Stegostoma tigrinum: one gene and its partner. The protein of the gene in region 1 interacts with the protein of each later gene in a pairwise test. Links are inferred from orthologs where the notes say so. Each region holds a gene or a part of one and is shown in the gene's direction. Other genes may lie near its edges.

The links. The genes of interacting proteins can lie anywhere in the genome.
Region 2: the proteins of SAM pointed domain-containing Ets transcription factor (region 1) and homeobox protein Nkx-3.1 interact in a two-hybrid assay, tested with the Homo sapiens proteins (2 studies listed by BioGRID). The link is inferred for Stegostoma tigrinum from reciprocal best matches to the Homo sapiens genes SPDEF and NKX3-1.

What each region holds. Positions count from the first base shown.
Region 1 is NC_081374.1:38,396,649-38,404,065, forward strand, and holds the start of SAM pointed domain-containing Ets transcription factor, read left to right. Parts: upstream 1-4,403; 5' UTR 4,404-4,522; intron 4,523-7,417. UniProt on the Homo sapiens protein: May function as an androgen-independent transactivator of the prostate-specific antigen (PSA) promoter. Binds to 5'-GGAT-3' DNA sequences. May play a role in the regulation of the prostate gland and/or prostate cancer development.
Region 2 is NC_081393.1:5,424,144-5,432,121, forward strand, and holds the start of homeobox protein Nkx-3.1, read left to right. Parts: upstream 1-4,970; 5' UTR 4,971-5,057; coding exon 5,058-5,247; intron 5,248-7,978.

The sequences.
Region 1 (7,417 bases):
GAGCTAAAAATTGGTCTTTTTCTTGTCCACTTCTTGCATCATGACAAGTTGGATTTTAATCTCAGCGGAATGTGCAAGATTCACATTCCAACTCAAATTAGCAAATCGGACCAGTCAGGATGTTAAAAGTTGCAACACCTTGAATGAAATGTATTTGTTCAGGAGGAAGAGGAGCCAGAGAGACTGACATTATTTTCACTACAATAAGCCTGCATGTCTTATGTCACATATTGGCTAAATTGATCGTTTAAATTACAAAGTTGCCTAAAGCATTTTGCATGGTTTCATTGAAATTGTGGAGTTAACCCCTGAGATTTGGCGCACATCAAACGTCAATACAATTTTTATACAACCCCAGAGGGAAAATATGTTACAATATGAACAGTGTATTAGCGAACAATTCCAATCTCATCAACAGCACTATAGCTAATGGCAAGGAGCTGAAAGAGTCATGAGGAAGATGTACCAAGAAATTAAGCCCTATAAATTGAGAAAATCGAAAATTCTAGCCATGACTCATTCTACTTGGGTGGATTCTAATTATTGCTGGTCAATAGCAAAGTATGTTGCTAAGGGATTAGGGTTGAGGCTTTCGAATGTAGAGTAAGAAGAAGAGTTATAACTCTTGCACAGCAATTCAACTCCTTTTGGATCCATTAAAGTAATTCACATACCACCCACCAACCTGTACCTCCAATGAATTATTCTCTAGCACTTCCGTTACCTACAATCCAACCCTAAGTCTAAAGAGATATTTCCCTCCCCACACCTATCTACTTTCCGTAGGGATTACTCGCTCCTTGTCTGCTCCACGCTCCCACTCACCCCACAACACCCGGCACCTTTCCCTGCAACCGCAGGAAGTGCTACACCTGCCCCGACACCTCCTTCTTAACCTCCATTCAAGACCCAAAGCAAAGCTTTCACTTTCGACCTATACATCCTCTAACTTGGTCTCCTGTATCCGTCACTCCCGATGTGGCCTCCTCTACTTTGGTGAGATGAAACATAGACTCAGGGTCCATTTTGTAGAGCACCTGTGCTCTGTATGCAACAAACGACCACACCTTCTGGTCACCAACTATTTTAACTCCCCCTCCCAATCCCTTGATGACATGACCATTCTGGGCCTCCTCCAGTGCCACAATGTCACCATCCGCAAAATGGAGGAGCAACACCTCATATCCTGCCTCAGGAGCCTACAGCCCGATGGCCCTAACATAGAATTCACTAGTTTTAAAATCTCCTCACTCCCACCCTCATCCAATGTCCAACTCTCCCTCTCAATTCTGCCGCCTTGATCCGACACAACCTGTCCATCTTCTTCCCCACCTACCTATTCTACCCTTCCTGCCAACAAATCCCCACTAGCCCCTACCTGCATCCAACCTGTCACCATCCCACCTATTTTTCCCCAGCCCCACTCATCCTCCTTCCTGATTCCTTGACCTGATGCAACCTGTCCATCCTCTCTCCCACCTATCCACCCCACCCATCTCACTGACCAATCCACACAACTCCCTACCTGTATCCACCTATCACCATCCCATCTACCTTCCCCAGGCCCACCCCTGCTCTCTCTATTTATCTCCCAGCTCCCTTCCCCCTCCTCATATTTGAGGAAGGGTCCCTACCCAAAATGTCAACTTTCCTGCTCCTCTGATGCTGTGTTCCTCCACACTATGTTGTCTGTGGTCTTGTTCTTTTCGACAATAGCTTACACAGTGCAACTCAACTCCACAATGACGATCGGGATCCTATCTACATCACAGAACCCAGATTTCCATATCAATCAAAACCCCAGTGACCTAAACTACCAGGTTCTCCAGCTGCTGAGTGATGCTTGGTCAAGCTGATTGGGAGTGAAATAACGTGCATTAAAATTAAGAGTTCTTGCACCCAGTTTCTGCTCATCAAGAACCAGTGAAGCACCTCCCTCCCAGTTTTCTTCCTAATCCATTCTATCCCAAAAAAGTGTGAATTATCGAACTCCTTACTGAACTCTTTATTCCTCTGCTCTCTAGGTATTTAAAGGCCCCTACTCAGATTGCAATTAACTATCTCTTTACAGTTTTAATCGCTTCATCTCTCATTTCTTTCAAGCTAGATGCTTTTTCAATCCTTTTCATTTAAAAGAAATTCTCCCCGTATCCATTTCTTGGTGCTATTTCAAACTCCCCCGTCTTTATGAATTGCCAATTCTCTAAATTCAGTCCATTTCTATTTATGTACCATCTACGCTTTTCATCCATAATTTGATAAGAGGACTCCGGGTTGTCCCAGTGAGATTAGAAAAGCATGAGTGTATCTCTTTCGGAGGGATACAACAAATAGAGGACTAACATTTCCGCATTACAACAGTGACTACACATCAAAAGGTACTATCATAAAATCCCTACAGAGTGGAAGCAGGCCATTTGGCCCATCAAGACACACTGATCCTACAAAGTGCATCCCACCCAGACCTACTCCGTCCCTGCAACCCTGCATTTTCCATGGCTAATCCATCTAGCCTGCACATCAGGGGCAATGAGGCATGATTGATCCATCGAACTGGCTCATTTTTGGACTGTGGGAGGAAACCCACGCAGACACAGGGAGAATGCGCAAACTTAGACAATTGCCCGAGGGTAGAATTGAATGCAGGTCCCTGCATCCTAATCACTGATCCACCATGTCGCTACTTTATATACCATAAAACACTTTGATACGCCTGGTTATCACAAGACCATAAGATATAGAAGCAGTATTAGGCCATTTGGTCTATTGTGTCTGCTCTGCCATTTGATCATGGCTGATGTGTTTTTAAAATGGAACAAAGAGACCGTGTGGTGTAGGTTCATAGTACCTTGAAGGTAGAGTCACAAGTAGACAGGATAGTGAAGAACGTGTTTGGTAGACTTGCCTTTGTTGGTCAGTTCAGTGAGTATCAGTGTTGGGATGTCATGTTGTGGCTGTACAGGATGTTGGTTAGGCCACTTTTGCAATATTGCATTCATTTCTAGTCTCCCTGCTAAAGGGAAGATGTCGTTAAACTTGAAAGGGTGCAGGAAAGATTTACAAGAATATTGCCAGGGTGAAGGGTTTGAGCTATAGGGAGAGGTTGAATAGGCTGTTGCTATTCTCCCTGGAGTTGTCAGAGGTTGAGAGTGGTTTTATAGAGGTTTATAAAATCATGAGGAGCACAGATAGGATGAAAAGCCAAGGTCTTTTTCCTAAAGTAGGGGAGTCCAAAATAGAGGACATAGCTTTAAGGTAAGAGGGGAAATATATAAAATCATCCTAAGAGGCAAATTTTTCACACAGAGGTGGTGTATGTTTGGAATGAGCTGCCAAAGGAAGTGGTGGAAGCTGGTACAATAACAACATCTAAAAGGCACCTGGATGCGTACTTGAATAGGAAGGATTTATAGTGATATGGGCCAAATGCTGGCAAATGGAACCAGATGAATTTAGGATATCTGGTTGGCATGGACACGTTGCACTGAGGGGTCTGTTTCCACACTGTACAACTCTATGAATCCTGCCTTCTCCCAGAAACCCTTGATCCCCTTATTAATCATGAACATACCTAACTCTATCTTAAATATATTCCCCCTCATCCTTCTAATCTACATCGATTACAGACCCAGAGTCCTCAACTACTCCTCATATGACAAGCCCTTCATCTTGGGGTCATTCTTCTAAACTTCCTCTGAACTACTTCAAATGTCAACACATCCTTCCTTAGATAAAGGACACAAAACTGCTTATAATATTCCAAATGAGATCTGACTTGAATCTTATAGAGCCTCAGCTCTTGTATTGTAGCTCTCATGAAATGAATGCAAGCATTGTGTTTGCCTTCCTGACTGCTAACTGAACATGGAAATATTCATGGAAAGAATTTTATAAATACAAACATTTCATTTCAACATAGAAATATTAATTAAGAATAATATTAGTCAATAGCAATATTATTTGAAAGCAATACTATTTCCCATCCCCACAGCATAGTCCAGTTCCTGTTGAACCTGTTATTTGGGGAAAATCTCAGGTATGCAGCCAGACATGGCATACACCCCCTCTATAACCACACTGAGCTATTGGCATAATCAGTCTAGCCAGAAGGACCACCGCCAAGGATTATGCCCACTCCGAACCTCTAGATGGCTATCTTTACCCAAGGGCAGACCCGCAGGGAGGTCCTCTCAGAGCCCCAATCCCCAACCCCATCCAAAGGGCAAAATAGTTTTCAGTCTCAACTTGCTTCCTTGAATTAAGCAAAAAATGTACTGAAGAGTTAATCACTGGCTGGGATACATAAAAAGTCAACTGATGCAAGCCTATTGTGTTTGCACAGGTAAACAATGTGTGATTATAAATTCAGCCACTGCCTTCAGCTGCTATAACCAGACAGGAAACATCAGCACAAGGTGTATTGTGGAGCTGTACCAGACACAGTCCTCAGCCAAGCAATCTGACGGTGGATACAAAGAATTCTTTTACTTTTTTTGCACAAGGAGAAAGGTGCTGAGTGGAGGTAAGTCTGATGTCTATCAACATCCATTCATGAAAAGCAGTTAAACTGTATTAAAGCAACTCACTATAGTAAGGGCCTAGAGTGATTTTAAATGTAATAGATTAGGAAGGACACAGCATTAACTGGCAAAACCTGCTGGATTACTTTTCACTGCATGTTGCAATTTTTTTTTAATGGTCTTCTGCCTTTTGTATTGATCAGAATAAATTATATGCAGGCTTAAACTTTGTCTTAGTGTAACTCAACTGCTTAAGTTTAACTTGGTCTATTCAAAAGTGCCTGAGTTTATAGATATTATAAATCATAAGAAAGGTGCAATAAAGATTTAAGTGGCATTGGTTTACAGGATACTCCAGCACAGGAGGCCATTCAGGTTCTTTGAAGGAGTTATGCAATTTGACCTACTCCTTTGCTTTATTCTTATAGCACAGTGTTATTTTTTCTTTTTGAGTTTATACACAAGTGATAGCCCTACACTTGCCAAAGCCAAAAACAGCGAGCTTGTCTGAGATTACAAACCAAATGTAACCAGAAAAACTTCATTATCTCCCATATTTCCCTCTACAATATTGCATCAAATCCATAGATGTGGGTCACATTCTATTCCTGCTCTCCTACATGAGTTGCCTAATCCCTTTGACAATAAATGCAAATTGTCATGCCTCCAATGTGGACAGCTGTCTTAAGGATGGGTATTTGTTTTATTTCTTTACCACATTCAGTGTGGAAGGCATGTGCTGTTTGAAGCAAGTAGGAGATAGCTGATCATTAGTAGTGTAAATGTGAGTTTTTCCAGTGGATCACTGGGTATGGTAGAAGAGCCCAAGGAAGTCTTTGTTCCAATCCTCAGTCTGTGTTGACTATGGCTGATCTTAGTCAGAGTAGGGCCATGATCAGAGACACTAGGTTCTGGCTGCCTGGTCCAAGTGTTGGAAAGTATACGTATGTTTGCATCACACAATCACGGGATTCAACTTGGCTATGAGGCATCACACAGATTAATAGCTGGTTGGTGCCAACTCTCAAAGCTCACTCAGGATGAGTGGGCATTGGATTGGGGTACAGAAATTTGGCTGGTACAGAAACTTGGCTGATGGCCTGACAGTACCATATAAAGGGGAATAGATGGGGGGAGGTAAATAGCCACCCTTGTGAAAAGTATGAAATACAGGTTCAGCAGGAGATACTCTCATATTGGACCAATGTTGTCCTTTGCTGCAGGTCTATCTACTGTTCTTTTTTGAGCACAGTAAACGCATACTGTGCTTTATGTTTCATGTAAAATGGTGTCTTTGTTTATTGGTCAAGAGCTTAAATTTACCACATTTTTAGATGGGGAGTGAATATTCTGTTCCATGATTTCATAGGGTCAAACAACGGTTTGAAACATCTTGTCGAATTTCCAGAAAAGTCTGATACTAAATAGTTTGCAAAAGCAAAGCCAGAAAATTACTCTGAATTAAGTTGCATGTCTAAGTCAAAGGGACATATGACCAAATTATTAACAGATAAATTTAACATTGATAGAGGGTTAGAAAGAAAATTGACCTCAGGGAATTCTTACAAATTCTGATTGATACTTGGAAATGAACACCTGGCTAGAGGACTAGGTGAACTTTCCTGTTGAGTGTTAGGTGTAGAGGCTGGGGTGGGTGCATGGATTATTTCAATGCCATGTTCATGTCAAACAAAAAGTCACCATGACCAGAGCAAAACCCATCCATCCAGCTCTGGGTGACACCCTTGATGTTGGCGCCTTATGCTTCTGTCATCTCCGGGGTGCAGCAGCAAACAATATGCAGTTACCTTCTCTAAGAGGTGATCTGTGGGATTGAACCCTAATCACAGGGCAATTACAAAGAAGGTAGTCCATTCAGCCCACTTAATTCACCCACTGCCCTATCCCAGAGACCATTTGAGCATTGATCGACTTTTGTGTGAAAAGGATTCCTGATACAAATTCAAAATACCATTTTGGGCTCATTGACCTTCTCACATAATTGCGTTTGTAGGATATTTTTCACTATTATTTGTTAAAAGGTCACCTATTGGACATTGCCTTTCCGAATGGAAAGACTAAATGCCAACTGTAGTCCAAAATCATTAGGAAGGGCAACCAGCCTTTGAGAAACTTCTTCTAACACTGGACTTCTCACATTGGAGGGCAGATTTGGGAAACATGGCTGTGAGAGACAGAATCTATGACTGTCAATAATTCACGTACTTCACTGATCTCAGACTGTAATTCCTTAGAAGGACTGCAGCTCCAGTTAAACTGTTCCTTGAAGTGCTAACATTTAGAACAGAAAAACTTAGGTTCACTCTGCTTATTGGAATATGCACAAATCATTTCAGTAACATAAGTCTGTGAAATATAAATAGTTAAAGTGGCTTGAAGAGACTGAGAGAGTACAGATCAAGGTGAGTTGGTAGGTGCCCAGATGAAGTGACAGTCTTTATTTTTGTTTTTGGTAAATTGGAGGTAAAGCTCATTTATATCTATATTGCTAAGAGTCTGGAATAGATCAAATCAATGCAAAATGTGCTGTGTCAGTGTGTATTTGAATTGAGAACAGTATTACACACAAGTGTGATGGCTTCAAGGTTGAATTGCCTTTAGCCAAACACAATAAACACACACACATGAAGAATGGCTACTTGTGTCAGCTGAAGGATCACTGTAAAATGCACTTGAACTCTCCAAGAAAGATGAGGAGAAAACTACATAGGAGAAAATACCATGGATGTATGCAGATTATATTTCTGCTTTCTTTCATGGGATGATAGCATCACCAGCTGGGCCATGCATTTATTACCAATTCCCTGATTACCATATGGGGTGGTGGGGGCCACCTCCATGACATGGTGCAATCATTGTAGACTGATTAACCCCTT
Region 2 (7,978 bases), on another chromosome or scaffold:
GTCACTTCCCTCAGCCTTTCCCTCCCTCTGTGTGATTTCTCTCAGTTCTCCCCTCTCCCTCACTCTGTCACTTCCCTCTGTCTCCCCTCTCCCTCACTCTGTCACTTCCCTCTGTCTCCCCTCTCCCTCACTCTGTCACTTCCCCCTGTCTCCCCTCTCCCTCACTCTGTCACTTCCCTCTGAGTCCCCTCTCCCTCACTCTGTCACTTCCCTCTGTCTCCCCTCTCCCTCACTCTGTCACTTCCCTCTGTCTCCCCTCTCCCTCACTCTGTCACTTCCCTCTGTCTCCCCTCTCCCTGACTCTGACACTTCCCTCTGTCACCCCTCTCCCTCACTCTGTCACTTCCCCCTGTCTCCCCTCTCCCTCACTCTGTCACTTCCGTCTGTCTCCCCTCTCCCTCACTCTGTCACTTCCCTCTGTCTCACCTCTCCCTCACTCTGTCACTTCCCTCTGTCTCCCCTCTCCCTCACTCTGACACTTCCCCCTGTCTCCCCTCTCCCTCACTCTGTCACTTCCCTCTGTCTCCCCTCTCCCTCACTCTGTCACTTCCCTCTGCCTCCCCTCTCCCTCACTCTGTCACTTCCCTCTGTCTCCCCTCTCCCTCACTCTGACACTTCCCCCTGTCTCCCCTCTCCCTCACTCTGTCACTTCCCTCTGTCTCCCCTCTCCCTCACTCTGTCACTTCCCTCTGTCTCCCCTCTCCCTCACTCTGACACTTCCCTCTGTCTCCCCTCTCCCTCACTCTGTCACTTCCCTCTGTCTCCCCTCTCCCTCACTCTGACACTTCCCTCTGTCTCCCCTCTCCCTCACTCTGTCACTTCCCCCTGTCTCACCTCTCCCTCACTCTGTCACTTCCCTCTGTCTCCCCTCTCCCTCACTCTGTCACTTCCCCCTGTCTCCCCTCTCCCTCACTCTGTCACTTCCCTCTGTCTCCCCTCTCCCTCACTCTGACACTTCCCTCTGTCTCCCCTCTCCCTCACTCTGTCACTTCCCCCTGTCTCCCCTCTCCCTCACTCTGTCACTTCCCCCTGTCTCCCCTCTCCCTCACTCTGTCACTTCCCCCTGTCTCCCCTCTCCCTCACTCTGACACTTCCCTCTGTCTCCCCTCTCCCTCACTCTGTCACTTCCCCCGTCTCCCCTCTCCCTCACTCTGTCACTTCCCTCTGTCTCCCCTCTCCCTCACTCTGACACTTCCCTCTGAGTCCCCTCTCCCTCACTCTGTCACTTCCCTCTGTCTCCCCTCTCCCTCACTCTGACACTTCCCTGTCTCCCCTCTCCCTCACTCTGTCACTTCCCTCTGTCTCCCCTCTCCCTCACTCTGACACTTCCCTCTGTCACCCCTCTCCCTCACTCTGTCACTTCCGTCTGTCTCCCCTCTCCCTCACTCTGTCACTTCCCTCTGTCTCACCTCTCCCTCACTCTGTCACTTCCCTCTGTCTCCCCTCTCCCTCACTCTGACACTTCCCCCTGTCTCCCCTCTCCCTCACTCTGTCACTTCCCTCTGTCTCCCCTCTCCCTCACTCTGTCACTTCCCTCTGCCTCCCCTCTCCCTCACTCTGTCACTTCCCTCTGTCTCCCCTCTCCCTCACTCTGACACTTCCCCCTGTCTCCCCTCTCCCTCACTCTGTCACTTCCCTCTGTCTCCCCTCTCCCTCACTCTGTCACTTCCCTCTGTCTCCCCTCTCCCTCACTCTGACACTTCCCTCTGTCTCCCCTCTCCCTCACTCTGTCACTTCCCTCTGTCTCCCCTCTCCCTCATTCTGTCACTTCCCTCTGTCTCCCCTCTCCCTCACTCTGACACTTCCCTCTGTCTCCCCTCTCCCTCACTCTGTCACTTCCCCCTGTCTCACCTCTCCCTCACTCTGTCACTTCCCTCTGTCTCCCCTCTCCCTCACTCTGTCACTTCCCCCTGTCTCCCCTCTCCCTCACTCTGTCACTTCCCTCTGTCTCCCCTCTCCCTCACTCTGACACTTCCCTCTGTCTCCCCTCTCCCTCACTCTGTCACTTCCCCCTGTCTCCCCTCTCCCTCACTCTGTCACTTCCCCCTGTCTCCCCTCTCCCTCACTCTGACACTTCCCTCTGTCTCCCCTCTCCCTCACTCTGACACTTCCCTCTGTCTCCACTCTCCCTCACTCTGTCACTTCCCCCTGTCTCCCCTCTCCCTCACTCTGTCACTTCCCTCTGTCTCCCCTCTCCCTCACTCTGACACTTCCCTCTGTCTCCCCTCTCCCTCACTCTGTCACTTCCCTCTGTCTCCCCTCTCCCTCACTCTGACACTTCCCTCTGTCTCCCCTCTCCCTCACTCTGTCACTTCCCTCTGTCTCCCCTCTCCCTCACTCTGTCACTTCCCCCTGTCTCCCCTCTCCCTCACTCTGTCACTTCCCTGTCTCCCCTCTCCCTCACTCTGTCACTTCCCCCTGTCTCCCCTCTCCCTCACTCTGTCACTTCCCTCTGTCTCCCCTCTCCCTCACTCTGACACTTCCCTCTGTCTCCCCTCTCCCTCACTCTGTCACTTCCCCCTGTCTCCCCTCTCCCTCACTCTGTCACTTCCCCCTGTCTCCCCTCTCCCTCACTCTGACACTTCCCTCTGTCTCCTCTCTCCCTCACTCTGTCACTTCCCTCTGTCTCACCTCTCCCTCACTCTGTCACTTCCCTCTGTCTCCCCTCTCCCTCACTCTGACACTTCCCTCTGTCTCCCCTCTCCCTCACTCTGACACTTCCCCCTGTCTCCCCTCTCCCTCACTCTGTCACTTCCCCCTGTCTCCCCTCTCCCTCACTCTGACACTTCCCTCTGTCTCCCCTCTCCCTCACTCTGTCACTTCCCCCTGTCTCCCCTCTCCCTCACTCTGTCACTTCCCTCTGTCTCCCCTCTCCCTCACTCTGACACTTCCCTCTGTCTCCCCTCTCCCTCACTCTGTCACTTCCCTCTGTCTCCCCTCTCCCTCACTCTGACACTTCCCTCTGTCTCCCCTCTCCCTCACTGTCTCTACCTGGCTTGCTCTATCTCCAACCACATTTCTGGGTTTTCTCTCTCCATCTATGTCATCCATTCCCTCAGACTTCTCTCTCTCCCCGATTTCCTTTTGCTGCTCATAGAACATAGAACATTACAGAATAGCACAGGCCCTTCGGCCCTCGATGTTGTGCCGACCTGTCATACCGCTCATTTGAGTCAAAGTCTTTCCTTGTTTATCAGGCTGATTCTGAGCTCTTGGTTTTAATCTTCTTCAGACAATATTCCTCTTGTATTTGTCACTCCAACTTCAGCTGCTAGTCAAGCTGTCCCTTACCGTCCCCCTGTGTCTATTTATCTTGGTCCCTCTGTGTCTATTCTTCATGTATTGCCCGTCTCTGCGCGGCCTCTCTCTATTTCAATGTTTTATCAAGACCTCTTTCCTTTCATTCTTCCTTCCATCTTTCCTTTCATTCTTCCTTCCATCTTTCCTCTTTATGATCTATTGAACTTGCACGCTACCTTCTCTGAGTCGTCCAAACCCCGTTATGCTGCAGCTTTCCGTAGTTCTTGCCTGTTTAAATGATCATTATTCTCGTATTCTTCCTGTCAAAGTGCATTAACCCATAATTTCCCACATCACATTCCATCTACAAAGTTGCTCTGCCACTCAATGTCCTCTCAATACCTGAACTTTATCCCTAATCCTTCCATTTTGTCCAACTACTAGAAGACTATCTTCAGTCCGTGCTCACGAAACACCCGTCACCACTGGATCTTCTCTTACAAAGTATCCTTACGCGTGGAAGCTTATTCAATGACCTTTTTTGTTTGGAAATTCAAATATATTTTGGACACTGTTTCCCCTTTGTTGCACCTTACTTAAACAATTGATATCAGTGCCTATGCATAGAATCACAGATACCTAGGAGCGAATCTAATCAAGGTGCTCAGATGATTTATAGGTAAAATCACAGAGACCTGGGATTGAGATAGAGATTGTAATCTAATCGAGGGGTTCGGGGTGGTTTGTACAGAGAAGAAGATACCCCGGGAGGGAGTGCACTGCATTGAACCGTATGTTTATGAAGCTTGTAAAACCTGTATTTGGAATGCCATGGGAACCCAGTTTCAGGAGGTTTGGGGCTAGAAGGAAGATTTCTGAGGCTGGAAAAGGGCCGAATGCAGAATGGAAAGTTGATGCATTTGTTGCGGGGTTTTTGTTTGAGTGACTAAGGGATGGGTGTGCTGTTGTCCCGCCAGCTGTACATTGGCAGGCGCCTGGCCCATTCTTTCCTGACCTTCTCTGAACAAGTTTCCCAGCAGCTGAGCTGACTGAGAGAGGTGGACGGGATGTGTAGAACTCGGGGGAAGGGGGGGGGGGGCGCGTCCTGTCCATTCTCAGGGGAAATGATGGCAGGGGGAAGCGGATGGAGACTGCGACGGTCCTATTCCCTTAACCAGCTCGCCCTGCCTCTCTTTCCCCAGGGAAGCGGAATGTCCCTGGCCTCCTCCAGCTCCTCATCCCTGCAGTATCTTCAAGCGTCGCCGCCGCCTCCCCCCCCCCCCCCCCCCACACCCCACACCAACCTTGTTGCGACAGTTCGCCTCTCCCAGCTGCATTGCCCCGGGGTGGGGAGAGCTGGCCGTAGATTCGCTCTCTGCCATTCCAGAACGACATGTTGGCCAGCTTTTTCTCTCTCTCATGCAAACACACACACACACACACACACACACACACACAGGCTGCAAAAGAGCAGCGCTCGGTGCTCAGAGAACTGGGACCTTAGCTGGGGCACAGTGTGGACGGCAGCGCGGATATATGCCAGTCCCTAGAGCCTGTGGCACCAGCTTCCTGACTGCCTGCGTTGTCAGCTACAACAGCACAGTGTTCCCCCCCCACCCCACCTCCTGTGCAGGGCAGGGCTTGGGACGGCGACCTGATGCCTGCCTCCCAGCCACCTTCTATAAGAAGCTCCATCTCCCTCCGTCCTTCCCACCCTCCCATTTGTCCTCGATTTCCAAAACTCAAAACTGGTGGAGGTCGTGGATTTGTCAGAGGCACGCACTCACAGACAGACACACACACGCAAAAGACAGAGCATGGCTTCATTGAGACGTGCTTTCACGTCGTTTCTCATCCAGGACATCTTGTCGCTTCAGGAAACTTCACCAGGCAGCTTTCCCAGGGGATTCCGTGGGAGCAGGGAGGAGGCAGGACAGCCCAACGCGGAGCCCCGCTCCCACAGCGGCCTGGAGCTGGCATTCACAGGTCAGGCTCTGGGGAGCTCAGGTAGGTTGGGGTGGGGGTGGGGGGGGGGGGGTGGGGGGTGCGGCTAGGGACCCCCCTCAGGCTCAGACCTCAGGTCACACCGCTCCATCGCCGCTGGACCGAGTCAGTGCAAGGCGAATTCAGGATATCTATCCAAATTCAGTTCACATTGGACCCCAGCTCTAAGTCAATCACGTCCCTACCGTGGGGAGACTGAACCTAGCCTCTGTGTCTGTGTGTCAGGGGTTTCTTCTGTTTCTTTCACACCTCCAAAATTTGTCCCGGGCCCTCTGTTAAAATGCTGTGGTTTTGAGTCAATGGGCTGGGTCAGGCACGGACTGGGGCCTGAGGGACGGGCGGGAGGGTGGGGAAGAGGATGCAATCTCAGAGTAACGGATCACTCACTCGACAAAAAGCAGGAACCTTTTTTTGCTTTCTCTCTGTCGTGAAGTGAAACTGACCACATGAGCGCTGCATGGGATGTATTGTTCAGTATGATCATGTCTGAGAGAAACAGGTTTTTAATCAGCAAGGCTGATAAGGATGTTGCCAGGGTTGGAGGGTTTGAGCTACAGGGAGGGGCTGGATAGTCTGGGGCTATTTTCCCTGGAGGATTGGAGGCTGAGGGGGTGACCTTATAGACGTTTATAAAATCATGAGGGTCACGGTTAGGGTGAATATCTAAGGCCTTCTTCCCTTGGAGGGGTAGTCCAAAACTCGACTGCACAGATTTTCTGGTGAAGAGGGGAAGGATTTAACAGGGATGTGAGCGGCAATTTTTCCACACAGAGGGTGGTGCGTGTATGGAATGAGCTGCCAGAGGAAGTGGTCGAGGCTGGTACAGTTACAGCATTTAAAAGGCATTTGGGCACGAATGGGAAGGGTTCAGAGGGAGATGTGCCAAATGCAGGGAAATGGGAAATACTTTAGCTTGGGAAACGTGGTCAATGTGGATAAGATGTTTGTTTCCGAGCTGTGTGACTCCAGGACTCTCAGACCAGGTCAGACGGAACATGGGAGAACAGAGGTAGCTTTGAGGGAAAGATCTTAGATTCTGAGAGCCTCACCCGAACCATAATCCCAACCCAAACCGTTACCCCCACCCTGTGGCTGAGGATGGTGTGTTTGCTCTCAGACGAGGGAGTCACTGCCTGAAAACAAGGGCTGAGCCATTCAGAACAGCCAGGAGATACAGAGTGTTTTGTTCTCATCTCCAGGAGGCTGCTTAGCTCTCTCTGGGAAAAGGCTCCACAGGTGGAGGCTCTGCCGATGATGGAGACAGAGATGCCGAGGTTCTGGTGGTACAAGGGGCAGCCGGGAAGATCTGACTGACTGGTCGAGCAGGCTGCTGGGGGGAACAGGTGATTGTGACCACGACCCCAAGCACAGGGTAGGCCCAGCCTGCTACTGATGTTTGCTGACTCCTCAGCCCAGAGCTATCATGGACTAGACTGGCAGAAGGTTCTCCTTCTGGGCCATTTATTCAATGGGTTGAGAAATCATTGGGAATATTGCCATAGAAATGCTGAGATTTGCAGCGTGTTCTGCGATAGGGTGAAGTTCCAGATCCGGAGCATTGTGGGGTCCCTCAAACTGGGGCCATCATTGTCCCCCTCTCAGAGTACACCCAGCCTCTCTCGCTGTTAGACGAGTGCATTCCTGCGGGTCTCCAAGAATCAGCACCAAGCCTGCAGTGCTGCAAGCCCACACCACACAGTTCTGACTGACTGCAACCCAACAGTGGAACACGAACCTGGAATTTGGATGGCAGCACATGGACCTTGTGATGGGACTGGACCCAGAATGTTCACAATGTATGTGACTGACCAATGAGAGAATCATCAAGGGACAGGAGTGACACAAGGAGGGGGGACTGGAGCTGCGAGGGATAATATAGAACTGATATAGATGGGGAAGTGAAGGAGTGAGATGCTGGCATGTGCCAGTGGGCGAGCGTGAGGAGCAGACATATGCCAGTGGGTGAGTGTGAGGAGCTGGCATGTGCCAGTGGGTGAACGTGAGGAGCTAGCACGTGCCAGTGGGCGAGCGAGAGTTGGAGATGGCATGTGGCAATGGGAGAGCGACTGGAGATGGCCTCTGTCAATGGGAGAGTGAGTGGTGGAGATGGCGTGTGACAATGGGAGAGCGAGCGGAGATAGTGTGTGTCAATGGTAGAGCAAATGGAGATGGTGTGTGTCAATGGGAGAGTGAGTGGTGGAGATGGCGTGTGACAATGGGAGAGCGAGCGGAGATAGTGTGTGTCAATGGTAGAGCAAGTGGAGATGGTGTGTGTCAATGGGAGAGCGTGTGGAGATGGCGTGTGTCAATGGCAGAGCGTGTGGAGATGGTGTGTGTCAACTGGAGAGCGACAGGTGGAGGTGGCATGTGTCAATGGGAGAGTGTGTGGAGATGGCGTGTATGAATGGGAGAGCGAGTGGAGATGGTATGTGTCAATGGGAGAGCGTGTGGAGATGGCGTGTATGAATTGGAGAGCGAGTGGAGATGGTGTGTGTCATTGGGAGAGTGAGTGGAGATGGAGTGTGTCAATGGGAGAGCATGTGGAGATGGACTGTGTCAATGGGAGAGCAAGTGATGGAGATGGTGTGTGTCAATGGGACAGCGTGGAGATGGTGAGTGTCAATGGGAGAACGTGTGGAGATGGACTGTGTCAATGGGAGAGCAAGTGATGGAGATGGTGTGTGTCAATGGGACAGCGTGGAGATGGTGAGTGTCAATGGGAGAGCGAGTGGAG